3 linked regions of the Arabidopsis thaliana genome follow. The protein of the gene in region 2 interacts with the protein of the main gene of each other region in a pairwise test. Each region holds a gene or a part of one and is shown on either strand. Other genes may lie near its edges.

Region 1 (11,015 bases), on a different chromosome or scaffold from region 2:
TCTACTTCGTTGGGTCATCGTGCTTTCTTCTGCTCTGAGCCTACCAATGGAGAGGCGGCGGCTGAAGCTGAAACTAAGGCGGTGGAGTCCGATTCTGAAGTGTCTGACTCCAAATCTTCGTCTGCGATTGTGCCCACTAACCCTAGGCCTGAAGATTGTTTAACGGTTTGTGTAACTATGGCTTTTTGTTCCTTTCTCTGTGGAAGATTTGTTAGTGCATTTGTATATGCGTTATTGGATCGTTGGCAATCTAATTGTATAGGAAAATTTCAATTCTTGTTGGAATTATTACAAAGTTGTAAACTTTGGTAATAACTGAGTGGATGATGCTTATGAGGTGCTTTACATCTTTGTTGTTCTATTAGTGGAGAAAGTTGAAGCTTCTGATATTGTATGTTGTTCTATGGTGTTTGCTTAGAGCATTTTTGAATCTGTATTTAGTGGTTTGTTGTTAACAGTCAAGCAAAGACTAATTGGATTTTGTGAACATTTTACATTTGATCATTTTCATTTTAGCGGAGTTATGTTTCTCCTGATGGAGTTTTCCGTTGTTTAATTGCAGGTTCTAGCATTGCCGGTGCCACATAGGCCGCTTTTTCCTGGTTTTTACATGCCAATCTATGTCAAGGTATGTCAATTCATCATTTTCTGGCCTTTAAACACTCTCCAAAACTTGGCCTTGTTTGGTTCTCAAAATCTCATTCGATTCTCTTTAAATGGAGCTGAATCTAGCCTTAGAACTAGTACCGATATCTTCTTATTTTGTTCTCAGTAGAGCATGGATCATTGATTACCTAGTTTACAATCAAAAGTGAAGAGAACTTACATATCAGCTGACACCTTCTTTGAAATATCTGCTGTTTGGGTTTCGACATATAGATCAATTTTAGCCGCATTTGATGCAATTTTTTTGATAATTTACCCCATTGTTTATTAATTGTAATCTTCCCCGCCTGGGACAAAATAGCTAAAAACTATTTCCGTTAAACCACAGCGATGACACGATCTTTATAGTTTGGGAGATGTCAGGTTTTGCTTCTCTGACCAGCATGTGCGTTTTCTGGTGTGCAGGATCCTAAAGTACTCGCAGCCTTACAAGAGAGCAGAAGACGACAAGCTCCATATGCAGGAGCTTTCCTTCTGAAGGATGACCCATCAGCTGATTCATCTTCAAGCACTGACGCAGAAAAAAACATAAATGAGCTGAAAGGGAAAGAGTTGCTTAACCGGCTTCACGAAGTTGGCACACTTGCTCAGGTATTGTGTTGCTGCATTTGTTCAAATTAAAAAGCATGACTAGCATTACGATTTCCTTATTGATTTTCCAGATTTCAAGTATCCAAGGAGACCAAGTTATCCTTGTTGGTCACAGGCGACTTCGCATAAAAGAGATGGTAAGTCGGTATAACAGCGTTCGTACTTTGTAGAATTTTCAACCATGAAAGTTCCAAATCCTCGAAAGTACATCTTCACATCTGTTCTTTGGTTGATCAAGACACTTTTGGTTTAAGGGAGAAATTTTTCCTTTATACAGGTGAGCGAAGAACCACTTACCGTCAAAGTCGATCATCTTAAGGTACATTTTTCTGCTTTTAGGCTTTTCCTCTTATAATATGAGACTACTTTGATTTTGCTTTTTCTATTTGAAACTCTGAAGTCAGGAACCTTTTCTTACTCTCTGTGCAGGATAATCCGTTTGACATGGACGATGATGTCGTCAAGGCAACATCTTTTGAAGTTATTTCAACTCTTAGGGATGTACTGAAGACAAGTTCACTATGGAGAGATCACGTTCAGACATATACCCAGGCATGTTCTTGTCATAATTTCACCTGTTCTGGTAAAAAGGTCTCAGGGTACAAGTGTCTTAGTAGATGTCTTTCAACTTGTGTAGCATATAGGTGATTTCACTTATCCACGACTAGCTGATTTTGGAGCGGCGATATGTGGCGCAAATAGGCATCAAGCTCAAGAAGTTCTTGAAGAACTGGATGTAAGGAGCTTCATTATTGTTGTAATTGTATGATTCTTGGTCAATCTCTCATCTCTGTTTTTATTGACCCAGGTTCACAAACGTCTGCGGTTGACGCTGGAATTGATGAAAAAAGAAATGGAAATTAGCAAGATACAGGTACTTCATTCCCTTATTCTTGTGTCTTTCCCACTAAGGGACTACTTATCCGGTAACTGTTTGAATGGGATAAGATTCTTATCTTCTGAGCCTTTTATAGGAAACCATAGCAAAAGCAATTGAAGAAAAAATTAGCGGTGAGCAACGTCGTTACTTGCTAAATGAGCAGCTCAAGGCTATAAAGAAGGTATTACTCAGCCCGCTTCACAAAATATGCTTGCTATTTTCATCCACATACCATGTCTGTGTAATATATATACATATTTGGTTTGATTCATTTAAGTCATCCAATGCAGGAGCTTGGTGTGGAGACAGATGACAAATCTGCACTTTCTGGTCAGTACGAACTTAAAGTCTTAAACTATCTTCAATTACATGTAGTCAGTTTATATCCTAGTTAGAAATTTAGAATTTCACTGCCTCATGGATCACAATGCATTCATGAGACGTCAGTGTCTTTGGTATGAGTTTGGAGAGCCGTGCACTGTTAATTGTATGACAACCACAACTTATAGTCTGTTCTTTACTGCAGCAAAGTTTAAGGAAAGGATTGAGCCTAACAAGGAAAAAATTCCAGCGCATGTATTACAAGTCATAGAAGAAGAGCTTACAAAGCTGCAGCTGTTAGAGGCGAGTTCAAGCGAGTTTAACGTGACGCGTAACTACCTTGATTGGTTGACCATATTGCCTTGGGGAAATTACAGGTTTTTTACTTTTCATATATCTTTTTTTTTTTTTCTGTTTAAGTAAAGCAGTAAGTCTTTTGGTATGAGAGACTGATATAGAGACGGATGAGCTCTCATCTCATGGCACCATTTGTTTTTGTGTTCACTGATTTGAGGAATCTATTTTGTTAAATTTGCAGTAATGAAAACTTTGATGTTGCACGGGCGCAAACAATTCTTGACGAGGATCACTATGGCTTATCTGACGTAAAGGAAAGAATACTGGAATTTATTGCAGTGGGAAGACTTAGAGGCACTTCACAAGGTTTGATACTTATCCAGTAATTGTGATTTGATCTTGTTGAAAAAAACTTGTCCCCTTAAATTTGAGTAAATGTGTCCCCAGGGAAAATCATCTGCCTCTCCGGCCCTCCTGGAGTAGGCAAAACTAGTATTGGGCGGTCTATTGCACGTGCTCTTAATCGCAAATTTTTCCGGTTCTCTGTTGGAGGGTTAGCAGATGTCGCTGAGATCAAGGTATAATACCTTTGTTTTGGTATACTTGCAAATATTAGTCAAACATTTGTGACTGAATTCTTTCCTAGAAACAAAAAACCATTCTTGTAATTACATGTTTAGGGGCATCGTCGGACATATGTTGGCGCCATGCCAGGAAAGATGGTGCAATGTCTAAAGAGTGTGGGGACAGCAAATCCTCTTGTTCTAATCGATGAGATTGATAAGGTAATATATTTTTTGTTTTGATATTTGTCATCATATGGTAGCTTCTTTTATTCATCAGTACAATACTGTTTCAATCTCTAGTTACCAAAGACAAATTTCTCTGCAATAAATTGCTATATTGTTCCTTTGCAGCTGGGGAGAGGCCATGCTGGTGACCCGGCCAGTGCTTTGTTGGAGCTTCTGGATCCAGAGCAAAACGCAAATTTTCTGGACCACTATCTCGACGTTACTATAGATCTATCAAAGGTAATTAAATGTGGTCAAGGACCAAATTTTGTATTTCTTTTCTTCATGATGTTCTGTCCACCAATAGATGGATATGAATACCATTTTGTTTCATGTGATACTAGGCCGATTGAATTTAATTGCTGATCCATTTCCCTACAGGTTTTATTTGTGTGCACAGCAAATGTGATAGACATGATTCCAAATCCTTTGCTAGACAGAATGGAGGTGATTTCTATTGCTGGGTATATCACTGATGAAAAAGTTCATATCGCAAGAGACTATTTGGAAAAAACTGCACGTGGAGATTGTGGTGTCAAGCCTGAACAGGTCTCACTTTCATCCTATTCTCCAATTGTCTCTTCTTTTAACTCTCGGTAAATTAAAATGAGTGAGTGATTATCAATGAATCACATACTTCTAAGATTTCGTCAATTTGTTCGTACTATGCAGGTTGAGGTGAGTGATGCAGCGCTTCTTTCCTTGATAGAAAATTACTGCAGAGAAGCAGGTGTTAGGAATCTCCAGAAACAGATCGAGAAGATTTACCGTAAGGTAAGTTTTGCTACAAGACTCCGAATTGATTCCTCAAGCCCTCAATGTCGAACACCATTTACTTTTCTGTTGTAGATTGCACTTAAATTAGTGCGTGAAGGAGCAGTCCCCGAAGAGCCTGCAGTTGCAAGTGATCCTGAAGAAGCTGAAATCGTGGCTGATGTTGGCGAATCCATAGAGAATCATACTGTCGAAGAAAACACTGTGTCCTCTGCTGAAGAACCAAAGGAAGAGGCCCAAACCGAGAAGATAGCTATTGAAACGGTTATGATTGATGAGTCAAACCTTGCGGATTATGTAGGAAAACCGGTATTCCATGCAGAGAAGCTCTATGAGCAGACACCGGTAGGTGTTGTGATGGGTCTAGCTTGGACATCAATGGGTGGTTCAACATTGTACATAGAGACGACTGTTGTGGAGGAAGGGGAAGGTAAAGGTGGCCTGAATATAACGGGTCAGCTCGGTGATGTGATGAAAGAAAGTGCACAAATTGCTCACACAGTCGCCAGAAAGATCATGCTAGAGAAAGAACCAGAGAATCAGTTCTTTGCAAACTCCAAGCTTCATCTCCATGTTCCTGCAGGAGCCACTCCCAAGGATGGTCCAAGTGCAGGCTGCACCATGATCACATCTTTACTATCACTTGCCACGAAGAAACCCGTTAGGAAGGACCTTGCAATGACTGGAGAAGTCACACTAACCGGAAGAATTCTTCCTATTGGTGGGGTAAGTAACTCCGGACTTCTCTCACTCTATTCTATTAGAGCCTCTCTTTTTTTTTCCTTTTTTGACAATGTACACAAAAATGTTACAGGTGAAAGAGAAAACTATAGCGGCGAGGCGGAGTCAGATTAAAACAATAATATTTCCAGAGGCAAACCGGAGAGACTTTGATGAGCTGGCAGAGAATGTGAAAGAAGGGCTTAATGTTCACTTCGTGGATGACTATGGAAAGATCTTCGAGCTTGCCTTTGGCTATGACAAACAAGAAGACTGAGAACACACATAAGCCACGTTGACCTTTTGTCATCTGTTGTTGTCTCCATTTAAACAACACTACCATTCTTGATTCTCTTTGATCTTTTTCTTCCTTCAAGAAGAAAGTTATTCTGTAACTTTTTTTTTATGATTAGGGTAATTTATTGGTGGTTGGATTTTATTATTTTGGTATATAACCAAAGCCAAATATCATAATAAGACATCAGAACAAAGTAAAAAAAACAAAGTTGTTTCTCATTTTGTGCTTGTAATTTCATCAACATATTCGCGTATTACTTTCACTGTTGCTATGTGTTCGATCACACTTCATAACAGACTAGTAACTTGTTGGCATAATTTTCTGTTTTATATTCCTTTCTACTGGATTAGATGATGGGTAATTTGACTATTAAACTATGTAATGAAATGTATATATATTCTTAGTTCGTACTCAGACAAAAATAGGATTGAGAAGATAGCATTCATACTTAGGAAAAACATACAATTCAACACAAACTCTTCATCAGACAATTAACCTCATATAATCTGATATCTGAAGTAGAAACAGAGGCACGGACTTGATAGAAGCTACAGTTGTCATGGTTATAGAGAAAGACTGAAAATTTGCTCTGATGTTGACTCAATGGTGACGTCGATAGGTCTTGCTCTGTGTTTGACACACCGATATTCACCAATGGTTCTGTCCATTGTTGATGACGGGGATCTGACCTAACTCGGTCTGGTTTTTCTCGGGTTGTAGTAACAGAAGCTTATCTTGTAGTACCCGTAGACCACTTTCTAATGAATCCTTCATCTCTAAGACTTTCTCCGAGAGCTTACTGTTGTCGAGGATCTTCTTACGTAGAAACAGAGAAAGGTTGGTTCTTTTCTTGCGTCGCTCTCTCTCGTGTAGTTTGCTAAACCTCTCTGCCATGTCTCGAACCTTGGATTGATCCTCCGGCCATGTCTTGATGAGTTCTCCGTCACGACTATAAAGTATGACACAGACTTCGATATCGCACAGAGTTGAAAGCTCGAGGGCTTTCTTAAACATTGTATCTTCTCTCATAGACAAGTTTGGTTTCTTCTCACAGAAAATTTGGTTTTCTTCTTGACATCGAAGAATCTATTGTGATGTTTTGTTTACACAGAGATAGGAAAAAAATTAAGCTTTTAGCTTGTTCTCAAAGAGAAAATAAACTCTGAAGGAGAGAATTGGGATACAGATACAATAGGGTTTAGGGTAGTGACTCCTTCAAGATGAATATGAATGCTTACCAACCACCAATGGCTATGCCTCTACGTCTCCGTCTTCCTTTTTGCAACCATCCAATGTATCAAGCAAAGATATCCTCTGTCAACAATGGTTCTTCACCATTCACACAGCCTTGAGGTGCACACTCGATTTGCTCATAGTTAAGTTGTCTGGACGCTTCATACAGAGCAATCCCTACACTCACCGAAAGATTCAGACATCTCACATACGTTTCTACCATGGGAATACGTAGGGTCCCCCCTCCATATGGTTCGTGATTGCAGTCTGACAGCGCTTCAGGAGGTAGACCGCTTGTCTCTGACCCGAACAAGAGGTAATCGCCTGATCGGTAAGAAAAATCCTGCATCAAGTTGTAACCATTGTTTTCAGCTACCCAATTGCTAGTGATTGTTGCTATTTCTGGTTGGTAAACAATAAACTAGAGGTGGAAGGACAAGCAAGCAACTTACTGAATGTATCCTTGTTCCTCTTTTTGTAAAAGCTATCATTCGTTTTTCTCCCTCCTAAACCAAAGAGAAATATCAGACACCACACACACATAGGGACTTTAGCTACTCAAGGACAAGTGGTAAACCTGAAGCCTGAAATATTCTTGAAACTCAGCCCATGAGCTATGCGCTTTGACAACCACAAAGCTATGCTTTAAGTTAAGAAGAAGAAGAGCTAATGACAGCGACTAAACCTTAACACAAAAACAGTGGGGTAAACTCTCATTTCTCAATTCCTATGTAGTAGACAAATTAGGTAGGATACGGCCAATAATCCAAACCAGCTCGCTTAACTCTGGCGTCATCCACTTGAAAACCTAATGGCTGAAGCAGGAACAAATGACAGATTAAGTCATCAACACTGGAAATAATGAACAAGTCGTGTTTGGTTACTTTACCCCGACTAAATGCAGACCAACAGCTGAGGCAGCACATGTTCTTGCAATGCAACCTGTATTCCCAGGAATCTGTCAAGGAGAGTATAAGTTGTTTAGATCCATCAACATGTACTAAGAAGACCAAAGGTAGCAGTGAGAGTGCAAACCTGAGGAGAGACCAAAACTACATGAAGCAGCTTACTCCTCGCATCTTCCTTGACTCCTTCTCCGGCCCCTCGCGGCAGGGGATTTTTCTTATCTGACTCGCCTATACCAACTCCTCGGAGAGCATGAGACTGAATCTTGGAGGAAAACGAGTTGATGGAGAGAGATAGCTTGCCCTTGAGATGAGTTAAGCTAAGAGAGGGAAATAGACGGCCACTTGACCGCAGATGAAACGTCCTTGAAGCTATGACGCTCCGACAGCAACTCTCCATTCCCTCGCCTCCCTTCTCCGCCGCCCGCAGATTCCACGACGTCAAATAAGATATTAATCAATTGGGCCGGATACTTTTAGGCCCATTCAATACTATATCTAATCGCTAAAGATGAATTGGGTTAAGGGTACTACTTCAACTTAAGTAGTGAAAGTTGACATGTTAAATTCGATTTCCATATTTTACATTTTGAAGAAAACATACAATCGGGTTATATAGAATTTTTTAAATTCGATCGATTTCCATATTTCATACTGATTTCCATATCTTTTCTTCATTTAATGATGAAATCTAAAATTAGATCCTATTTCTAACCGTCGTAAGGTAATTATTAATTAATTAATTAAGGTAAGCAAAAACCCTTAATTATTGTCTTCACATTGAAGAACCCATTGTGTTGTTTACACACAAAAAAATAATAAAAAAATATAGCTCATCAAAGAGAAAATAAACTCTGATAATTATGTAACACGGTTCTGATATTAATCTAACCGTTGGGGTTTTTCAATAATTGTAGTAAAAACTCCTAATTTTTTTTTGAGTCACGGAGAAATTAAATTTAAAAGAGTTCTACAATTTTTTTTGTCTATATAACCTTTTTTTGCTAAATTTCAATTTGAACCAAAATACCCCTACTTTATATTTTAAGCATTTTTGAAAAAGTTTGACCTTAATAACATGTAGATCTACAAGAATATAGTTGATTTGTAAAAAAAAAAATTGTTATTTAGTTAAACAAAAATTGATTTTTTGATAGATAAAATTTTGTCTAAATTTTTTAGAAAACGATTTCTAGTAATCTATTAAGTTTAGAATTTCTATTCTAATATTTTGTACATATTTTACAATATTTAGACTATTTTTCTTTCTAACAATCTTAGAAAATAGGATATTCAATATCTAAAAATTGTAGAACATGTATTCTAAAATTCCTTCATGTTCTAAACTATGTGTGAAATTGTATTCTAAGAATTTCTATAGTTTCTGAAAACACTAGAACACGTTTTCTTAGAAATTTTCACTTTTAGAATTTATATTTTAACCCAAATTAGTTTTTTGTTTCTAAACTATTTAGAATAGATATAAAAAGTGAATCTTTGAAAAAAGAAAATAAATATTTATTAGATTTGAATTATTAAATCTACATGCAACTAAAATTAACAGCTCAACATGCAAATTGCAATTGACACTTCATGAGACACAAAATTGAGAGAAAAGACTAAGAACCAACCAAGTGATTCTAAGAACTTAACAAATCGAAACAGTTCTTAGAGATGAGACCTGTGAGGGAAGAGAGCGGCGGCGACACCGTTCTGAAGGCGGACTTTGGCGGTTTTGGTGGCGGAGAAGGAAGGGAGGTTGAGATGAGTGGTCACGACGGTGATGAAGAAGATTCAGGTGACTTTGGACACGACGACGCCGACCACAGAGAAGGCAAAGAAATCGCCGGCGACGACGACAACAGAGATGGCAAAGAAATCGCCTGCGACATGTGGAGAGTAAGTTCGCCCGAAAAAAAATTATAGAGCTGAATGCTTTTTTTTTTAATCGAGTAAAGGAGGAAGAGAGACAAAAGATAGGGTTTGTGAAAGAGTCTAATACATTTAGAGGATTTAGGTTCTCAAAATTTTACTTTAAACTAGTATTTCTTTTGTATAAATAGATTAGGAAATTTTAATTATAAAATAAAATGAGGGTAAATAAGACTTATTTTTTTTTGAAAAACCTATTTGATTAATTTATAAGAAAAAGAAATAGATGGACAATTTATTTTTAGATATCCTCTAGATTTAATTTCCCTCATAAAAATGCTTTGTATGTTTGATATCATAGAGAAAATCTAAATTAGATCCGATTTTACAAATATCAATCTAACCGTTGTAGTAAATGTAATTACTGATAATTAATTTAAGGACAGCAACAAAAAAGAAAGGGAATGTGACATTATTAGGCATTTTGTGAGAATCTTTTTACGTTTGAGGCACTTATGAGGGAGAAGACACTTTGCCATCTTTTTGAGAGGAGATTGGACTAATTTGCCCCTGAAGTGGTGAAAACACAATAATTTTTAAACTTATTTTTAATAAGATCGTGTGGGTGAGAAACTTTTTTTTTATATCATCTATCCCTTCCATATTCTTTTGTTTTCATCATTTTCAATCCCTCTTTCAAATCATAGTCGTTCTCAATAATTTTTACAAAATTATGAAAATTCTGAGGTTATCTCAAAATTCACAATCACAATCTATGTTTACCCTAAATTTCCTTTATTTTTTCAGTTTTGTATTTTTTTTTCTCCATTCTCCGTCATCAAATCCATTTCATTATCTGCAGCCTCCATCAATGAACGACTGTGACCAACAAAAAAAAGTAACATCATCGATTTCTCCTTTTCGAGATGAAGAAGAAGGAGATCCTTACTCTCTGCTACAAAGCTCCCTCTTCCCTTAATCTCCCTCTTTTTCTGGTTCCATGTTCTTCTCTCTTGTCTTACTTATGGTTTCTGGTTTCGTTGTTTTTTTTTGGGTAAAAGGTTTCTTTGGTTTTGAATCATAAAGGCCAATGTTACATGTTATTCGTTGATTCTAGATTAGGCTTTAGATTGTAAATCTTAAAACTTTTTTTTTATGTTATGTGTTCTTAATTTTATGATTTTATCCTTCAATTTAAATTTATATTTGTTAGATCTGTTGAATTTGTTGCCTTTGTTTTTGAATTGAAAAATGTTTGGATGTCATTTGCGTAGACGGAAAGTGATTGGACGCATAAGGCTGGGTATGTGGTGGTTATGCAAGAAGATTGGTTGATGTTTATGAGCTTTTTTTGAAACTTTGGTCCATGAGGCTGCGCTGGCCGCCGTGAGTTCCAGTGTCTTGTCTGGCAACTCCATACTTATGTCGACTCATGGATGTCAAGAAAAGTTTATGAGAAAACACGAAAATGTATATCCATTTGTTCGGCGCTAGGTGGATACACCTTCATTTCTTACACTATATCCATTTGGTCTATGTTTCATGGATACAACTCTACTTCTAAAAATCATATATGAACACGTACTTGCCGATTGTCAGCTAAAGGAATCCGTCCATTACTCTTCGAAGATATGTTATCCAACTAATGAAGTGTTCTTTTATTTGAT
Region 2 (10,372 bases):
TTGTCTAGAAAATGCTTCTTCTGTCATCAAAATCTTCTCCTGTTTCCATTTATTGTATGAACCAAAGATTGCATGCACTCTATGAAACTTAATTTATTCTCCTGATTTGTTATTTAAGGTTTTAGAGTTTTACATCAGAAGTTAAAATATCTTACAGAGTAAGTAAACACTCAAAAGTACATAAACAAAGGAGAGGGACTAGTCATGGTGTTGCTCCGCGTGGTTGAGATGAAGAGCACCTTCATGGTTCTTGTGAACTTCCACCTTGAACTTTTCCTCTTTTTCTCCCCTCTTCAACTTCAGTAGCATGTTGTATTTTGCAGCCTCGCCGGTTACCTGTGTCCATGTTTTTAATATTAAGCTCATTAATCTTGTAATCACCAACTATTACAACTCAGACGTTAGTCCTCATACCAAGGAGAACCAATATGTTGCTTAAAGTCTTTTCTACTTCTAAAACTTCAACACCATTCGGTTTCACTGACACTTGATTTCGTTTATTTGCAATTTCTCAGATGAAATTCATGCAAAAACATTGTCAAAATCTGACAAGTTCTCTATTGAAATTCATTTTGTGCAATTAAGATCGAAGATAGAGTATATAGTAAATTAAAGCCATACCTCAGCTTTAGCATGCACAACCTCCAGAAGTTCATAAGGGAACAAGGAGTTAGACCTCTGCTGAATGGTCTTGACAGCCTGCTCAGCAACATGCTTCACTTCTGGATCATCTCCGGGAACTTCCCTCCATCCAGATTCATGTTCACCTGATCCACAAAACCCAATTTTCATAACCAAACTCTTTCCTAACCCACAATCTCTGACTTGCTACATATATATCCCCTGACATTATAATGTTCTTATCAGTAACTACTCAAATTCACACCTTGCTTGCAGCCAAGATCGGAGGAAGTGATAGCAGGGGCATCACTGGCAGGCTTGAACTCCTGTAACTCTTTAAAGTTCAACCACGGCTTGACCCACACTTTGGCTTCGTAAAGCTTCTTCTGTCCTGCCTCGAGAATCTCCAGAGTCAGGTGATGCAGTGTTCCGGCTACAACTTGTTCTTTCGCCTTCACAACTCTCGCAAACTCAAGAAGTGCATTCTACGACGACCAAAGACAGAACAAACCAAAAAATCAATCAATCAATCAATCCCACAACATGAACGCATTTCATCACCGAATAATATACACTCTCTAAGATCTGCTGGTAACTGAAATTGAGATCAATAGAGAAACTCCGGACAAAATTAGTCTAATCGTGTTCTGGATCAAGACTATAATAGCATAAAACACACATATCGAGACGAGAGATGTGAAAAAATCGAAGATGATGAGAGATTTGGAACCTCTTTCTTGTTGTGTTCATCGACAGCGAAACGAGCGAGGCTCTCAACCTCACCACTGTTCTGATTAGCAGGGACATCGCCAACACCTCCGACTAAAGCCATCTCTTCGTTGCAGAAGCCTAAATCACTGGCGATCAGAGAGGAAATGAAGAGGGATAGAGAGAAGAAAACAATGAAGAGTAAGAAACGGCTTCTCATCATTCTCACCTTTATTTGGTTCGGTGCCCTGTATTTTTAGATATTTTTCGTTTTACTCGTCGAATTGTTGATTTTATCCTCTACAGTTAATTCGCCGTGTACCGGATTAAGGTGTCCATTTGGTTTGATGTTGGTTTTGTTGGTACAGTTTTAAGTTTAGGCTCTGATTTATGAAAATATTCTTACGATTTAAAACAAAAAAGGTTTACATTTGATTGGATGCCAATTGAATCGAATCATTTGTAAGAAAAGAGTACCGATTCGAGTTATAGATTGGTTTGATTTGGCCTCAATCGGTTAAGCTACCAACATTTTAAATAGAAATTCATACCAATCTGGATTACACATGAAAACGTTGCTGAGGATAGCGGCACGTTATACGAAACGTGTCGGCAGAGTCACACAGAAATTGTCAAACACCTTTACTTGTAATCGAAGTTTAAAACATCTATGCACCTTTCTTCGTCTTTCTCTCATCTGCTAGAGAGCCCAATTAAAAAAGGCCCATGGGAAATAAAATCGCAACATAAACAGTGAAACATCATTGGAAAGAGTTTTATTAGTCTGATATTATTGTTTTGATAATACAAAGCTGCGTATTATATTATAATAATAATACTCTCGTTACTAAATAGCAGCTTCGAGGAGGCCGTTAACGAAGGATCTTTGGTTGTAACAATCAAGATTACCACCAGGATTAACACCAAATATGTTACAATACCTCTGATAAAACCCTATACGATCGGCGACTCTCCCGTCTTGGCCACGTCCACACTCCAATCCACCGTTAATGATGTTCGTAATCACTCCATAACCCGGTAATCTCCCGGCGGCACGGTCGGCGTCTGAAGGCTGCCACTGGCCGGCTATCACGGCATGGCAAGACGGTTTGGGAGGCTGAGCAGTCATCCAGAACCAAATCGCGGCTTTGAAAGCGATCACTGCGTCGTTGGCAACAAGGTCAGGGTTGTTGAGTAAGTCAACTCCTATTGCTCTACCGCATAGACCGTAATTGTAGTTCCACGACAGTTGCATTGGTCCTCTTCCGTAGTAGCGTTTGCCAGATGCGCATGGCCACGTGGCGCTCGGTTCACAGTAGTCTGAAGCAGGATTCTGTTCTTGCTTGAAACAGTAGCCCCATGAATATGGTCCGTCTGGTGCTGTAGCCCATCCACCTGCACGACGTAACCGTCCACTTAATTAATTAGTATATAGCTATATATATAGTCACAACTCACAAACTTGACATTATTCAAAAGTGTATAATTTGGAAACTGGAATATTCGTAAGTTCCTTGATTGGTTATTTGCGTTTAGATTAATCAAGAATTTCATATTTTTAAAATAGTTTTTTAATTGTAAACGCAAACATCTAAGACCAAAACATTTTTCTTTGCGTTTGGCGTTTTTGTTTGATTTTTTTCTTTCGTTTCTAAATATGAGAAGCTATAATTTTTTCAATAAAACATATATATATATATATATATATATATATAGTATAGTAGTTCTTTGTATATATGAGCACTTGGATCCAAAACTCTTTACAGAAGAAAAAAAGAACTTCAAATTCTGATGTTTTAATAATAAACACCAAAATTTAGCAATTGTGTTTTGAAACAATCTCCGTCAAATTGTTAATGAGTTTTGGGTACCTGTAGTTTCATGGGAAGTCTGGCCGAAGAAGGCGGCGACCTCCTTCTTCCTCGTGGCGGTGTCTCCGGTGGTGCCAAAACCGGGGAAGGACTTTGCAGCGGTGATAAAGGCGTTGTAAGTGTAGAAACCTCTAGCAGGACAAGCGGCATCATTCCTATGCTTAAGCATATCATCGAACTGAGAACTTGAAATGATGCCCGAAAGATCGCCGGTGGGTCCAGGAGGAGTACCACCGGGAGTGCACTGGCTTTGGCAGCCAGGCTGCTTACAGTATGGTTCGGTGTTACCGCACCAGCCGAACTCGCTGCAGCATAGACCGTTGGGGCAGAGTGCTCCTCCAGCTTGGCGACCACATTGCTCGGCCGAGGATAATGATAGGAGAAGTGAAAAGATGAGAAAGAGAAAAAGATTAGTCTTCATTTTGTTCAATGTTCTATGGTTTTCTTTTTGTGGAGGCATGAAAGATATATATAGATCCAATTAATGAATGTTTTATCACATCAAATTCTATCTTTTTCCATAGTTTATTGTTTGTTATGTCTATGGAGTGTGGCTATGGGGAACAAACAGTATTTGGTAGGTTTGTTTTTGATTATATTTATTTTCCTTCCGTCATTGTTGCTAGGTTAGATATTGATTTGTTTTTTTGGGGGATTATCATGTTAATTCCAAGTAATGAGAACTTTCTATGTATGAAACTGTGCTAAATGTTGGTAGAAGAATACAAATTTTAGAAGACCAAAAGCATAACAAATTACACTCTTTTTGAGTTTTTTGTTCTAAAGTTACTATCGACGTAGATAGTGGGACACAAAGGTCGTAAAATTTTGGGTGGTCTGAAAACACGTTTACTCGAGTTGCGGACTAATCGATGATCTGAGCTAGTGTGCACTAATTAATCAAACACACACATATTCGGATATTCCCTATGATGTATACACAATACTTGACTATATCTAAGACAAGATCACAAGAGTTGCATGAATAGTCAAGAAAATGTATAACGTGGAGAAAATAAAAATAGACGTGTCTAAATATTTAACTATGATCAATGTTGACAAAAACAAAATTTAACTTTAATTATGAATATGAGGCGGCGGGTTCGTGATCAACTTTTTCAAAAAGCAATTGAGACATTTAGAATTCATTATAAGGTAACGTATAGCATTAGCCAGGTAATGATATAATGACTCAAGACCAAATCATACCAATATTTAATATATTCATTATTCCAACTACTCATGATGACTTTCCCTATTTCATAATGTTTTATCCAAAGTACGTGTCATGTTTACAAACTATATAAAATCCAAAACCTCGACGAAACCTGCGTGCTATTCTTATGTACTAACTATGAAAAGTAACGTTAATCATCGTTGACTGAATCTCTAATCTCCAATCTCACTGTGGGCTGCGTTGCCGTCTCTTTCGGGTAGAAATAATCGACCATGGAAAAAAATAATATTGTAATGTGAATATATTGGCAAATCCTACAAAATACATTTTAAATGTAATCTTAATTTTTGTAATTAATTACATGACAATACCATTAGAAAATTTTAATCAAAAATAGAATCTTTTAATGACATCATTAAGATTACCAAAATCATTTAACGACAATATTCATCTCTTAATTATAGGGCTTATTGGATTTAAAGACGGGTCATCAAAGATTTCCTAAACTGAAGCAAAATATACCGAATATTCAAATATCTATCTGTTACCAAATTATAAACAAATAAGTTCGTAAAACAATTTAATATTTTATATACGAAATCAATTAAAATCTTAATTACAGAAAAATTAGCATAAAAAAATATGGTACATTCGGGTCTATAGTATTTTTGCAAGACTTTTTTGGTGGATTTGAGTAAAAGTGCATTCAGGTCATATAGTACATTCTCCTATTAAATAAATATGGTGCACTCCTATGTTATTAGCTAAAATGTTTAGATTATAATTCAGAGTCATATCATAAATAAATTAATATTAATAAAATAAATGGCTTTTTGGCAAGACGGATTTGGAGGGATGGGTTTTTGAATCAACATTAATAAAAAAGTAAAATCTAATTAATCCACCGTTTTAATACGGATTAAATTTTTAATTTATTATTTTTTAAGACTACTAATATTAAATATATCAAATCATCCTAATTTAGAAAAGATTATATAAAACAAAAAATGTTACGTGGTATGTATAATGTTACTATATATAAAATTAAACTATAAAATATAAATGTATTAGAAAATGATACAATTTACAAAACTTTTATATATAATAAATAATTCTTAAATTTTTAAAATTACTACTTTAATTAAAAAATTACGGGACGGGTAAAGAAATTATAGAACGAGTTTTATTTTGGAATTGAGTTATATGGTGGATGTATTTGAATCAATATTTATAAAATTTTAAAATATTATTAATATGTTGTTTTAATAGGATTAAAACTTTAATTTTTTAATAATTGTCTAATGGATTTCGTAGTATAACGTTATTTAATAATAATTATAAACTGTAAAATATAAATATTTTATAAAAATAAAATTTGCAAGTTTTAATATATATTACTTTTTAAAAATAAATCATCCCGCGGTATACCGCGGGTTAAAATCTAGTTGACTTTTATTCCTGAAAACAATGAAGAACCAAATCTAGGCAGTTGCATCTGATTCTGATCACATGGGATCATTAGGTGATATATCACACACACATCAAGCAACAAAAAATAATATGTTCCTCGTTTTTGGAACGAACAATCTCCACATCTTGTATTTCATGGACATGCAACGATGTATATACTACTTGAACCACTAATTATATTAATAATTCACTGATTTATTTGTTACCTAGCTAAATTGTAGTGTAATTATATTGTTATTCTGGAAACCTTTGTTGTTATCCTACCTAGCAAACAATTTATGTTATGACTCGAATTAGGGAATGGATTGAGATATCAGATTGATTAACGAACTCATTTTTCTTTCGTGCTTCACATAAATATTGTTGCGTCTCATTTTTACATGTGTGTGCATAGGGCTTAGATTAGTTAGTCTATTCAACTACAACATTGACTATGATTGCCTAACATTAATGCATTTAGGAAGTAGAATAGATATTCAGTTTTTTTGGTGTAACTACAGAAAAAGTTTGATCATTAAAGGCTATTGGATTTGCCCCAAAAAAAAAAAGATGTAAGATCATTAAGCCTATTGGATTGGGCCGGAGATCAGAAGATGTTAAAATCAGATTAATTTTGTTTTGTTTTGTTGCATTTAACAAAATTCCAGATCGTTTCGAACTTGGTTTTGGGTAAACATTTAATTAAAATTATAATAATTAATTAGTTACTGATCTTATCTTAATAAAGTAGATATTAACCAATTTGTAAAGGAAAATTGGTAATTCAGATTTTTAATTGAATTGGGTTCACACGCAGCATCATCTCCACCGTACACGTGGATGAATCAAGGACCATCGTCGATTTTCGATGGGTTTTTTCCGCTTGGAGTCGGTTAGTGACGTCTTTAAGAAGAGAAGAAGCTTATAAAAAAAAAATTAAGAACAGTGTGAAATCAAAATTCGAAACGGTACAACAATGGGAGATTCTAAGAGGCAAAAGACGGAGACGGAGACGAAGATGGAGATGGAGAAGGTAGAGAAGAAGGAAGCATCAGGATCTGTTAATTTCGCAGAACTACGCGACGATCTCTTCCGCGAAGCAGCGAAACTTGTCTCCGAAGATCCCTCCACCAAAATCGCCATCTTCGTTACTCCTCCTCCTTCTTCCTCCGAATCGGACGTCTCTATGTTCTCCTTCGGCTTTCCCTCTGTCAATGGCGTTGTTAACACTTTCCTCGAGAATAATCCAGCACCAGTGGATGATGCGGAGGAGGAAGATGAAGACGAGGAGGATGCGGAGGTTGAGCACCCAAGGTTTTGGTGGGAAGATACTAAGCAATTCGAATCGATGAATCCAGAGCAATTGAACGCTGCGTGTCAGAGGATGCTGAGGCTGAAGGAACGTTTGAATCTCGAACTTGACGCTATGCTGAAAGCTGAAGCTTCTGGAAATCAAAAGGATCCTCACAACGACAAAGCTGCTGACCCCAAAACCTAAAGGCGCTCTCATGCATTTTCATGTTCTATCTTTTAGTTTAATCGTTTTGATTTCTATTTCTATGATATTGCCCCAGATGTCCCAGGATTGGTTGATTTGATCGTCTTATGGATTATCTCTGTTGGTTGCCAAACTATTATTCTATTCTTAACATCAATAAATCTTATGACTTCCAATTTTTATTGTGCTTTTCTATACATTACATAAGAAATAGTTTTTTAAGGTTGAAACAGAGAAATGGGAATCATATTTTTCTCAACCAAAGTGAATGCTTTATTTGATACATACATTACATTATTGTAAAAAGAATCGAAGTGTTCAATGTCTCTATTTCTCTCTTGACAACAATGGTTCCTCTAAAACTATGTTCGATTCAACTTCAGTGTAGGTCGATGAGTTTTTCAGGCCGCTTCTTCTCCATAAGCTTGGTTTGCTGCTTTCTTCTACATCTGTGGGTCTATTGACGTAATGAACACAAACTTGGACTGCGTCATGTACTCTCACGAAGAACCATTCTTTGCCAATAAGTTCCACAATGCCTGCTCTTGCTAGAGTCAAGAGAACCTCTTTGTTTGGGTTCGAAATCGCTAGCTGATCCATAGAAAACCAACTAATCATCAAGGTATTGACAACTTAGAAACAAGTACTAAATAATGATGATGATATCAGGTTTGCACCTGAATGCCCCTTGTTTTATACTCCTCGTACAAATCTTTTAAAGCTTCTACAGCGCTCGAGTCGATGTATGTGACAGCTGCGTTACATCCCACCCATTGTCGATTAGATTAATCACCTCTGTAAGTTTCGAACTGTGAATAGAAGAAACATTGGACTTACGAGACATTTCCAGGATAACAAAGTAGATCCTCTCCATATCTGGGCCCTTGCTTGTGTGTTTGTCGATAGCAACTTCATATTCTCGTAGCCTGCAATTTCGAAACATGGTGTTGTTGTGTTGATTCTTTATGTGGATCATAACAGAAAGCAAGTCAGGAACCAAATGTCAATTTCACCTGTCCTTGATGTAGCTTATGTTGGCAAAATAAATGGGAGCATCGATTCGAACAATCACAATCCCGTTGTAAGTGTATGCCTCTGGATACTGTTTCATGTTTCTGTACACAGTGGTCCCTGGAAGACGCCCCAAGACAGCTGCCAAAACATATGTAATGGTATGTGATCAAGGATATGAGTGAAAACCATTTCTGAGAAACAAAACAAGCAAATTGAACAGAAACTTATCTCACCTATATGAGGGTTTGCAGACTCGTGTATAACAAATGCAAGTGAAAAACCAACCTGAAAAATTCCAAGCATTACAACTCTGTGAGTCCTTTAAAAGCGTTGCACAATTCATGTAGGTGGTTATACTACTTTCAACATCATCACTCCTTTTAATTTCAAAGAGATATGATCAGCTACAGAAATAAAGCTGAGTGAGTATGAGCATACTCACACCAATGAGGACCCCAATCTCTATTCCAAAGAACAAAGTGGTGGTGCTAGTGATGGTCCAAAGAGTAAAATCTCTCTTGTCCACACGCCACAGAAAGATTGCCCCTTCATAGTCCACCTAATATGGTAAACATCCAGAAAGAATAAATGTGAATATATATTGCTCAATAACCAAAGACAATAAGTACACACCCCAGATTCTTTTCTGGTGGGTTTATTTGAACTTACCAAACCACTAACAGCAGAGATAACTATTGCTGCTAAAGCACACTGCGTAGTTGAGAAACAGACAGGAATTAGAAGCCAGATTTCAGTTTTAAAATTCTCCAGAGTTTCAGACTAAAAAATAAAAACAAGAGAGCACAGGACTGGAATTAGAAATACTCAACACAGACCTACCTGTGGTATAAATTTGAACATTGGGGTCAAGAACAGTAGAGAACATCCAATGATGATTCCTGTTACAAGGCCTGATAGACCAGTCTTGGCTTCACTTTCGCTATTCACAGCTGACCTAGAAAAGGATCCTATGACACATTTAGGGAATTAACAGATACATCAAATTCAGGCTACAACTTAGAAAATATTATCACCTTTTGTTTTGAATTTATCATAGAAAACACACATTACATGTTGTCTACTAATCTCAACAGTCAAGATTACGTACCTGTAGTTGGATATGCAGAGAATAGTGACCCAAATATATTTGCAACGCCAAGACCAAACAACTGCCAAGTCACGGGAAAAACAGACAGAACTCTCAATGACCATAAGATGTAGCCATTAAAAGAACAAGTTACAACATTTAATGGTAAGAATTGGGCTAGCCGCTTGCACTTGATTTTCTTTATTCTCTAGGGTTTATACCTCTGAATTTGAATCCAATTCGTATCTATTTTTCGCGGCTAGTGCTTTCGCAATACCTACAGATTCCTGGATAAGTCGAACTAGCATATCAGAAAACACAAAAACATGCGCATACTGCAGCTGAAACTAATCAAGAAACTCCACTTCTGCTTCTCAGGAAGTCAAATTACTCCATGTCTCAGCCATATCCATCCATTTACAGATTCTCATGATTAGGTTCAGCTGCAACTCACGTAAGTCCAGGAAAAAGTTAATGACAATGATGTCTCACCAAGATGGCAACACCAGTAATGAGAGCCGATGTTGGAAGCAGTAATTTGGCATGATCAAAACTTTTTGGGAAAGAAAACTTTGGAAGTCCCTGAGGTATATCTCCCACCTGAGAAATCCTAAAAACTTTGCAATCAATTACGGAAAACACTCACAAAAAATGTAGCTTCAATAGGGAAAAATATAAGAATTTCATTCTTTAGCAATCTGACCAGTGTGATGGAAGGTGGATGGAACACTTTTGCAATGATTGTACCAAGAGCAAGACCTGTGAGCGGTCCTGCTGCTCGTATGAACCGAAGTTCCTTCTTTGCTTTTCCCTGCCGCAGAAAATGATGCCTTAGCATAATAAAAGTAAGGGAACATAAGAAGTATCCTAATGACACACTGAAGAACAAGGCTCATACCACATGCTTCATTACTAAAAGGATCACCAGAATGGTACATCCCAACAAG
Region 3 (10,693 bases), on a different chromosome or scaffold from region 2:
AGATAGAACAAAATGAAGAATAGAAACAGAGAGAGATTTTATCATATAACAATTTTTGATTTGATTAGTTCTCCTCATCACATATCTGAAAAAGCAATATGGTGAGGAAAGATCGATTCTGTAACAAAAGACAAACACACCAATGGGTGGTGAGTGTGTTTACATATCTGCACTCATCTGTCTAATGAAAGGGACAAAGTTGTTCCAGTTCTCGACCCTAAAGATCTTCTCATTCATTCTGCAAAACGTAAATGATCTTAGAGTGTCGCCATTCGGTTGCACACAGTTCTCTCGTATTTGCCTTAGTCCCATCTGTTGCAGAATTCATATAGAAAATGGTTAATAACCACCACTTTGACCTCAGACGTATAAGACTAAAGCATGTGCAAATAACTCACCTCATCAAATCTTTCGCTTGTGTTTCTACCAGTCACATGTATTGTCCACTTCTTCGAAACATCATGTATCTAGCAAAAGAAAATGTGATAATGCTGATTTGTTCATGTTCTTATAAGGCATGCTTAATTGTCTAATGTAGCAGCGCAGTAAGAACACAGAGACTAGACTAGTTTGAAGTGTCTCTACGGAAGTAAATAGTGCTTCAACAGTGACCGGTCTAAATACAAGTAACATACATACTTCATATGAACATAATTGAATTCTGGATCAAGGGTTTACGAAAGAAAGTACCTGTCTACGTAATCCTTCAGGGCTGCAAAGATATTTCTCAGGTATTTCACTATCTGCCATATCCAAGCAGCTGAAAAGATATGATAGATTCTCTCGTTAGTGAAACTGGACCATGCAGCTTCTGAGAATTATGTACATAGTAAAAGAAAACTTCAGAAAAAGGCTCTCACGGGATGTTGAGAGCAGCACCATGACGAGACAAGACGGAAGCTACAGGATCATAACCATCCCTGAGGGAGGTGTTGTAATAACCTGCAGTTAGTTCAGCGGGGTGTGAAGATGTCTTATACCACCAATAGATTCCACCAATTTTTGCAACCAGCATTACAGAGCTTTTCTCTTCTTCCTGACGTCTCCGCAAGACATCGGCTGCCTTTGCAAGAATAGCATCAGCATGACAAATCAACTTCCCACTGTACCATTCCTACAATGAAAAGCAGTTCACGTTGTTATCTATAATCCAGCCTACTAGCCACTTTTATATCATAACAATATATTATATCAGAATCACCAAAGAGGCTATGATATAGAACATACTAGAAAGAAACGACCATAGTCAGAGAGAAAGCTATCATTGCCCTCCTCAAAGAACGGAACTCCAGATGGAAAGCTATTATAGCAGCCGGTATTCGGAGGATCTCTGCTTCCCCATTGAGGTTTGCCTTCTTGGGATGCCACTGCCATCAAGTCTTCCATCCTAAACCAAGTAGTATAAATCTGTAAGTGTGATTAGTACAGGCAAATACAAATTTTCAATAAATAAGCACTCACATGTACTTGTCATGGCATTGGAATTCACCAATTCCAGGAAATTTCCACCTCCCATCTCCAGAAGGATGTGCAGGATATCTGCAAGAGATAACTGTGTAAGAAACTCCTATTGTAGCTATTGTGGCTTTACCGGTGGTAGTCCACAGAAGATCAGAAGTACCTAAGCTCCCCCGAAGGACCAAGACCTATACTTATTTCTTCAATCACATTCCCAAGATATGGCTCAAATTTTGTTGAAAAACTGAGCATAAAATCTTCATAGCATTGAACAGCAGTACGGCCACCGAACAAAGGAAGTTGATCGACTCCAAGTGTGAGATAGTCATTGTTGGAAAATCCGCTTTTATCTCTATAGTATATGTCCTTATTGACGTCTCCAATCTGGAAATTATAAGGTGAAAAGCAGTTGAGCTAAACTTCGTAACAAAGGAAAGCATTCCCAACGACAACATAATCAAGTTAGCATCTATGATTGTGTAACAGAAATCTATAGTCTCCAAGGTTTCATCAGAAAAAGTTCTCAACCTTAAAAATATTCAAAGGAAGAAGAAAAATCCGCATCAGGCAACCTTCTATCTCTACCGCAAACAAATAACTAAATACCTGTAATTCTAACAATACCAACCTCTCGGATCCAGAGTGGAAGACTGATGCCTCCTTTCCCACCAAACAAATGCATATTTGAATGAAAGCAAAGAGCAACATGTAACTTCAACCCTGCCTCAGAAATCAGTCTAAAAAGCTCTTCATACAGTGACCATTTAAACTCAAGAGGAGAGAAACGCTCTACAATCCCCCACCAAACCTCAACTGCGATTCCATGAACACCAGCTAACTTGAGTGCCTTAAGAGATACAGTTAAAGCCTTGAGCCTGAAACAATAAAGATAGATATATCATTTACTAAAAGAAGAAACTAGACTTGTCTTGTTCTGAAAAAGGAATTATACTATATTTCATACCATGTAAGGTTATATAAATCGGGTACATTGAAACATTTCAAGAAACTTAACCTTTTAATCTTTGGACACCCAGAAGCATCAATTCCAAATGTATCAATCGGCATCATCACAAAAACTGGAACTCTCTTGTGCCTTGATGATACCAACACAAACGATCGTGATTTCTCTCGAGCATCCATGCTATTAATCATGTTCATCAACAACAACAACAATTCGATTAAAAAATCACTTAATTCCAATCCAATTTCACTCGCAGACAACTAATTTCTTCCCCAAATTGATTCCACTAACGAAAATGATGTAATCGATTTCCATTTTTCATGAATTTAACAGCGAGAGCGAAACTAATTACCTAAAGATTCGGCTGTTCCCGGCGACGGAACGCAACTTAGTGATGAAACGACCGCGTTTGAAAGGAGGAATCATAGAAACGCTTCGGAAAAAGTTACGATTACGCTTTGTACTCTGCTCGAGGAAACAAGATTTCAAAGAAAATCCTCCGGGATGGAAGAAATTGCCGCCGGTGACTCCGCGACAGCCACATCCGATTACTCCAGTCTCCGTCATTTTCGTTTCTTCTCCTTCGTCGGAGATATTTCTCAGATGGTTTTAGATGCGGAGGAAAAGAGACGGAGATGGAGTACTTGAAACGCAAAATTCTATTTCTCTTTTTCTTTTCTTTTTAACGACCCAAAATTTATTTGGGGCTTTTCTGATATATATACTGAATTTTTAAATCAAGAAAATTATCAACTTTATAATTCCTTCTTGACCCTATACTTTTTCCTTTATTGCCTTTATTTTCTATTTTTTGCCCGTATGTTTTAAATATTTCTATAATTGACCCCAACTTTCGTTCTCTACTATATACCTCGTGCCTACAATATTTAATTATTTATAGGAGTATAGGTGTTTTTATGAAACAAATCAGTGAAATTATCAAAACTAATTAACGTTTTACTTGTTGAAGTTCAGGAGATGATTGAGATTACATTTATTTTATTATAAAAATCAGAGTTGATTTTTTCAAACTGGTGTTTAATGTGTAACATGGAAACAAGTTTAAATTTCTATTATGACTGACTTATAATTGAATAATAAAACTATGAGGACTTGAATAGCATATAGTCAAACTAATTGTACTTTTAGATGGTAATTTTTTTATATGATATTAAATATCCATTGAATAAGGTTTTTTAACAAAGAAAATGGAATTAACCATTTTGCTGACGTGGAAACATATCGTCCCTTAGTGGATAAGCATGTAAAATATCCCATTAGAACATATCCCATGCTACTCGCCACCATCAACACTGCCTATTACCAATTATAGTAGTGAATTTGGCATATAAATAGTATACGAAAAATGTCTCACATATTTAAGTTAACCTATTATTTCCGTCTTCATTGTCATATAGTTTGATCAAATTAAATCATGGGTCCACGATATGTCACGTTTCAGTCTCGTAGTACTACTCATCAAGTGGCAAAACTTTGTTTATCACATATAGCTGATATTTATTCGAATGTGAAAGATAATAAAGGATAAAAAAACAAAATTTCAAAATACGCACTAAGTAATAATTGCATGGGACATTTTACAAGTTCTAGTCATTTTTTAGTTACATACCAGTGCGTATGAGCATATGGTGATTGGTGAAATTGTTAAATGTATATTTCAAAGGCTATGAATTACCGATCAATCGATCAACACCAACAGCTACTAGTAGTTTAAAATTTTATGAAACAAATTTATTATTTGTCGATGTCTCCTAGTATTATATTAAAATGAACTATCGAGTATCAGTACAAATAGTCATCACAGAAGTGTGACAAACTTACGACAACAAACTTTAATCTTTTTTCTAATTTCTATACAACCAAACTACCAAAGTGGCCATGAAGACCAATAAGAACATTGTTGCAACTTGCAAACGGAACCTCAGCCACCTCCGGCGCCAAATTTCCGTAAGAATATTAACAAAGTTTTCAATTAAAGCAAAAAAGGAATATTTGAGAAAATTAATTGGCACAAATCACAAACAAAATCTTCTTTCTTGATCATGCTGTAATTACAATGTTTTCCTTTAACTGAACTCTTATCACTTGTGCGTGAACATAGAAACTAAAGATTTGTATAGCTTCGTCCTCTTTAATTCTACTCGAAAACATGGAAAGAAATAAAATATCAGCATTGCTACCGTAATTTAGGGGAGGAAACAATATTCGAGAATAAACCATATATTCTTTACGACAAAAAAAAAAAAAAAAAACATATATTCTTTTTTTGCGTGTGTCTTATATAAACACAGAAAGAGGAACTCCATTGTTAAATCAAGAAACTTCAGAAAGTAGAGCTCTTAAAGAAGGTATTATATACATTCTTTTTTTCTTCTAGTAATCACTCTGCATTTACTTTATGTTAATATCCCATCTGTTTTACTATTCGTGTTAATCGTATATGGATTTGGAATTATGCATAGGAAGCTTGACAAAACGATAAGGATTATGCTTATTAGTGAAAAAATTGAGAATAAAATAATATGAATCTTTCTTCCCTATACATTTGTAAGGCTTACATTGCTATGAAATGTTAAAATGTAAACCTAAAAGCTATATGAGTTACAAATTTTTTATTGACAACAAAATGTTTACTAGTATTAGTGCTTTGGTTGTAAATTTGTAGTGTTTCTGTATGTTTTGGTAGCTGATCGTTACATCCAAATGATGATATTACTATTTCAATTTTCAAGATTATGATCTATTGTTGTGTTTTACTCTTTTATGGCTTTTTAGATTGAAGCAAAGGTATCTGGATGGGTCGAAAGATGGTAAAGATGACGAGGATAACGAACGAGAAAACGAGGATAACGACTTACAAGAAGAGGAAAGCATGTTTGTATAAGAAAGCCAGTGAGTTCTCAACACTCTGCGGTGTGGACACTTGTGTCATTGTGTACGGCCCGAGCAGAGCAGGGGACGAAATGGTCATGGAGCCCGAGTTATGGCCAAAGGATGGGAGCAAAGTCCGTGAAATCTTAACCAAGTACAGAGACACTGCGTCAAGCAGCTGCACCAAGACATACACCGTGCAAGAATGCTTGGAGAAAAACAACACTAAGGTGGAGAAACCGACGATTGCGACAAAGTATCCTACATGGGACAAAAAGCTCGACCAGTGTTCTTTAAATGACCTCTATGCGGTTTTCATGGCAGTAGAAAACAAGATCCAAGAGGCTACGAATAGGAATCAGACATTTCCTGACACTAGTTGTTGGTCTAATGACCAACTTGGTTTATGCGGTTACAATCGGCAATGTTTTGAGCAGTATCAGTTGTTTCCTCTGCCTACTATGGATTACAACGGGCTCTCTTTCTTCCCTTTTAATAACCAGATGACCTCAAATACTGCGGAAGTGTCTTCCTTCTCGAATGTGACAGAGCCGATGATAGCGAACGGGCAAAGCTTGTTTTACGGGAGTTGTTCGGATGGTCCATATGGTCCGATGGTACAGAGGACAGCTTATATGGAGCCAATACATTGGGGTTTAGGAAACAGTATGTTCAACAATGTGAAGCAGTTCCAAGATTATCCCTTCAGGTTTGCACAAGTTAATGATTTGGAGGATTCAAGTAAACTTTCTATGTGAGAAATGTCATTTGTTTCTTCCGTTTGAATGTTGCTTTATAAACTTCTTTTTATCAAGTTTCTATTAAGTTTGTTGATTTTTTTCATAGCTATATCATGGAATAAGAAAATGGTGTTTTTACGAAAACATATTGTACTAACAAATATAATCTACCAACATTAATATACTATAAAGTAATCAATACAAAACAAGTAAGTATCTTGTTCATTAGAATTACAAGATATACTGAAGAGTCTTCTTATAGTCTGACAAAAAGCTAGTTAGCTGGAAGAACCAAAGTGGCTACTAAGATCAAAAATATGCATAGGAGATCATGTTGAACGAATTTAGAAGCCGACTTGGCTCCGGCGGGAACCTCAGCAGTCTCTGGAGCCAGATTCGCCGTCGCTGGTGCAGAACTACTCACCGGACCTCGTCCGTAAGGAAATATGTCCGGCGTATTCGCTGGAGTTGATGGAATATCAGGGGTTGTTACTGGCGATGTTGCTGCGATATATGGAGCATCGGCGGAGACTGGTGGTTGGTTTGATGGGGTGGTGGCAGGCGATTCTATTGAGGTGGTGGGACTTATCATTGGAGCAGAGATTGGAGACTTCCCTGGAATTGTAGTGGGAGGGGATACAGGGGAAGTTGCAGGCGTAGAGACAGGAGTCGTGGATGTAGTCGGAGAGGAAACAGGGGAAGTCACCGGAGATGAAACAGGGGATTTCAGAGGAGACGCAATGGTACGAGATGTAACAGGGGAAGTCGCCGGAGACGAAACAGGGGATTTCAATGGAGAAGCAATGGTTCGAGAGGAAACAGGGGAATTCGTCGGAGTAAAAACAGGTGATTTCGATGGAGATGCAGTGGTCCAAGATGGGGAAGTCGCCGGAGAAAGAACAGGGGATATCGATGGAGTCACAAAGGCCGCCGGAGAGGAAACAGAGGATTTCTCCGGAGACTTTGAAGGCGATGTTTGCTTCGTCGAAGATGGTGCCTCTGGAGATTTTTGGATCACCGGAGGATGTAAAGTAGGAGTTAAAGGAGACTTCGACGGAGAAATAACACGATGAGATTTTGCCGGCGGATGTAAAGTGGGCGTTTGAGGAGACTTTGTCGGAGCCTTTAACGGAGAAATAACAAGATGATGAGATTTTGCCGGAGGATGATGTTTCACGGCGAGTCTCGGCGATTGAGCGGGTGCATTGGCCGCTTTTACATTACCAGAAATGGAAATTAAGAAGACAAAAATGTAAATTACAGCAAACCGACGCATCGTTTTTCTTGTTTTGTCTGATTCTGGGAAAGATAACAAAAATCCAAAGTGTTCTGATTCTCAGTTCTTAGTAAAATAAGTATTTGCAAGTTTCGGTTAATGGATTTATTATAAGAAAGAGAATTATTTTAAACACGAAACGTTGTGAATTGTGATAATCGAGAGATATATGACCGTTGGTGGCGCCTGTATTGTCGGAAGTGAAGTAGCCGTTAACCGGCTAAAACCGGTTATTATGAGACGACAGGAAGTTTTATTCAGAAATGATCAGACGACGAGTCGTTTAATAAGTTTTCGAAAGTTTGAACGACAGGTAGTTCACATAAGTGAGCCCATTAAAAGCAAGCCCATTTGTTCTGGGTCATGAAACCACGCGTATTGGATTGTTGTTAGTTCTCGTAAATTCGGAAAACACGTGTCATCTCTACACTAGAAAAAGGCTCTACAATGCGCGACTGTGTACGGTGCATGTTAGTGAAATTAGTTGGATTCCATCGAGGAAAAAAATAATTTTAATTGTAAAGAAATCAAAAAAGAAAATCCAAGAAATTTCACAAATCTACCGGATTAGGGTTTCTAGCAACAGGTCCTGTCTCCGGTGACAAAATTTCTGCAAAATCTCTTCTTTTATTGAGATTGTTCATGTTCGAGCGAGTGATAACGTAAGCTTGTGATAAATCTGATTCGAGAAAGGAGCTTTTTTTTTTATCACAAGGAAGAGTCTTTTAAGATGGATGAGGGAGATGGGAGAGATCAGATGGATCAATTTCATCAAAACGAGGCGATATCTGCCGTTGCTGACGACGGGTTTATGGCGGAGGAAGAGGATGATGATTATGAGGATCTTTATAACGACGTTAATGTTGGAGAAGGGTTTCTTCAGTCTATGAAAAAGAACGACGAAGCGGGATCTAGAAACGAGGAAAAGGAGAAGGTTAATATGGAGGAGGAAGATAGGGTTGAACCAGTTTTAGGTGAAGCTGAGGTTTCGATTTCGATACCTGGTTTGGTTGGTGAGAGCGTTGAGAAAGAAGCAGAAGCAGAGTCAGGAGGAGGAGGAAGTGGAAGTGGTACTGATGTGGTGGTCGCTTCTAGTGGATATGGAGCTCAGGAGGTTAAGGTAAGCGATGTTAGCCAGGAGATTCCTGGTGGAATTGGTACTGGTACTGGAGGTGGGCTGAGAGTTGAGCTAGGGCAAGCTTCTAATCGGGCTAATGATCTCGAGGCACCTAGAGGGAATAATATTTCGCAGGGTCTCTTGCCACCACCGCCTGTGTTGGGGAATAACGAGAATTTGATGAGACCTGTGATGGGTAATGTTAATGGCGGGATTCCTCCTGGACCTGGTAGTAACATGGTTGGGAACGGAGCTAATATCGCTATGCCTGGTGTTGTTGGCGGGGGAACTGGTGGTGGAGGAGGCGGTGGAGCTTTTCTTTTCGTAGGGGATCTGCATTGGTGGACAACTGATGCGGAGCTTGAGGCAGAGTTGTGCAAGTATGGTGCAGTGAAGGAGGTTAAGTTCTTTGATGAGAAAGCTAGTGGGAAGTCGAAAGGGTATTGTCAAGTAGAGTTCTATGATCCTGTGGCAGCTTCGGCTTGCAAAGATGCGCTGAATGGGTATCCATTCAACGGTAGGCCTTGTGTTGTTGAGTATGCGTCCCCATATTCGGTTAAGAGAATGGGAGAGGCACAGGTGAATAGGACCCAACAGGCTCAATCTGTAATTGCACAAGCTAAGAGAGGAGGGCCTGCTGATCCTCCAAGTAAACCACTCGTGGCCAACAACAACAATAACAACAACAACAACGCCATTGGCGGGAATTTCCAAGGTGGGGAAAATAGAGGATTTGGTAGAGGTAATTGGGGTAGAGGCAATGCTCAAGGAATGGGTGGTAGAGGACCAGGTGGTCCAATGAGGAATAGGCCTAATGGGATGGGTGGAAGAGGTTTGATGGGTAATGGTGGGTTTGGTCAAGGAATGGGTACAGGGCCTCCTATGAATATGATGCATCAACCAATGATGGGGCAAGGGTTTGAACAAGCTTTTGGTGGACCGATGGCGAGAATGGGAGGGTATGGAGGATTCCCTGGGGCTCCAGGTCCACAGTTTCCTGGGCTTTTGTCATCATTCCCTCCTGTAGGAGGAGTTGGTTTACCTGGAGTGGCACCTCATGTGAATCCAGCATTTTTTGGACGAGGGATGCCGATGAATGGAATGGGAATGATGCCTAATGCTGGTGTTGATGGAGGGCATAATATGGGAATGTGGGATCCTAACAGTGGAGGGTGGGGTGCTGGTGAAGATCTGGGTAGTGGAAGAGCTGCGGAATCGAGTTATGGGGAGGAAGCTGCATCTGATCATCAGTATGGAGAGGTTAATCACGAAAGAGGGGCTCGTCCAAATCCTGTGAAGGAAAAAGAAAGAGCTTCAGAAAGGGAATGGTCTGGTTCATCTGATAGAAGGAATCGTGAGGATAAAGATGCTGGTTATGAAAGGGACATACCGAGGGAGAAAGATGTTGGTCACGGTTATGATATGCCAGAGAGAAGGCATCGTGATGATAGAGACACCGGTCGTGAGCGTGAGAGGGAACATCATCATAAGGATCGTGAACGCTCCAGAGAACATGTTCGTGACAGAGAAAGGGAAAGGGAGAGGGATCGTCATAGAGAAGAACGAGAACGATATGGTGGTGATCATCGTACTAGACACAGGGACGAACCTGAACATGATGAGGAATGGAACAGAGGCCGATCATCCAGAGGACACAACAAATCGCGGTTGTCTCGCGAGGATAACCATCGCTCAAAATCAAGGGATACTGATTATGGGAAAAGAAGGCGGCTTACTACTGAATGAGTATCAGATAAAAGTAAGTAGTTGAATCTGATGGTAACTTTTGTTCCTTATGTATTGTAAATTCTACCATTCTTTTTGATTTTTTTGCTTTAAGACTTTGACTAGTTACTGGCCTGGTTCGTTTTTCTGATCAAAATTTAGCCGTCTGCAAGGGCATATTGTCTAACTTGTGTATACTCTTGTAGCTCAATGATTTTTCGAGTTGATAGTTATCATTGTGGTTTATACTTTTGCCCTTTTCTTTACTGACTATGGTTTCTGTTGTCTTCTTAAATTCATAACATTATGGGTAGATTGACTTTGAGAGTTACTGCAAAACTATAAACCCCCTTATGGAAGAAGAGCAAGATGAGGAAGAAGATAGAAAGGCAGACTCTTGTCAAAGATTGAAGACTCTTACTGGTGAAATCTCTTCTTCAACTCAGCTTAGTTACCTAGAAGTGGAAAGAAACTTGGCAAACGTTTACCTTCTTTAAGTTATTAGACACCTTTCCTTTTGC

Evidence for each region.
Region 1: the proteins of AT3G12510 (region 2) and AGL26 interact in a two-hybrid assay, tested with the Arabidopsis thaliana proteins (one large-scale study listed by BioGRID).
Region 3: the proteins of AT3G12510 (region 2) and AT5G55690 interact in a two-hybrid assay, tested with the Arabidopsis thaliana proteins (one large-scale study listed by BioGRID).

Annotation. Positions count from the first base shown.
Region 1 is NC_003076.8:9,451,315-9,462,329, forward strand, and holds AGL26 (tRNA (cytidine(34)-2'-O)-methyltransferase), read right to left. Parts: upstream 7,908-11,015; 5' UTR 7,877-7,907; coding exon 7,607-7,876; intron 7,530-7,606; coding exon 7,461-7,529; intron 7,387-7,460; coding exon 7,328-7,386; intron 7,210-7,327; coding exon 7,149-7,209; intron 7,078-7,148; coding exon 7,024-7,077; intron 6,915-7,023; coding exon 6,636-6,914; 3' UTR 6,377-6,635; downstream 1-6,376. Other genes in the region: LON1 (lon protease 1), read left to right, coding at 1-165, 563-628, 1,072-1,257, 1,329-1,394, 1,535-1,576, 1,687-1,809, 1,895-1,993, 2,066-2,131 and 11 more; AT5G26865 (AGAMOUS-like MADS-box protein), read right to left, coding at 5,987-6,367; AT5G26890 (uncharacterized protein), read left to right, coding at 9,151-9,402.
Region 2 is NC_003074.8:3,960,325-3,970,696, forward strand, and holds AT3G12510 (MADS-box family protein), read left to right. Parts: upstream 1-6,770; 5' UTR 6,771-6,802; coding exon 6,803-7,324; 3' UTR 7,325-7,498; downstream 7,499-10,372. Other genes in the region: CYSB (cystatin B), read right to left, coding at 199-336, 622-767, 887-1,106, 1,352-1,552; HCHIB (basic chitinase), read right to left, coding at 2,177-2,724, 3,201-3,660; SULTR4;2 (sulfate transporter 4;2), read right to left, coding at 7,652-7,915, 8,002-8,078, 8,162-8,250, 8,338-8,476, 8,572-8,623, 8,781-8,897, 9,008-9,049, 9,179-9,306 and 5 more.
Region 3 is NC_003076.8:22,544,169-22,554,861, reverse strand, and holds AT5G55690 (MADS-box transcription factor family protein), read left to right. Parts: upstream 1-4,767; 5' UTR 4,768-4,791; intron 4,792-5,216; exon of another isoform or gene 5,217-5,218; 5' UTR 5,219-5,238; coding exon 5,239-6,072; 3' UTR 6,073-6,155; downstream 6,156-10,693. Other genes in the region: BAM4 (beta-amylase 4), read right to left, coding at 160-312, 399-467, 691-760, 861-1,114, 1,228-1,387, 1,462-1,539, 1,622-1,842, 2,087-2,333 and 2 more; AT5G55680 (glycine-rich protein), read left to right, coding at 6,501-7,127; AT5G55670 (RNA-binding (RRM/RBD/RNP motifs) family protein), read left to right, coding at 8,061-10,193.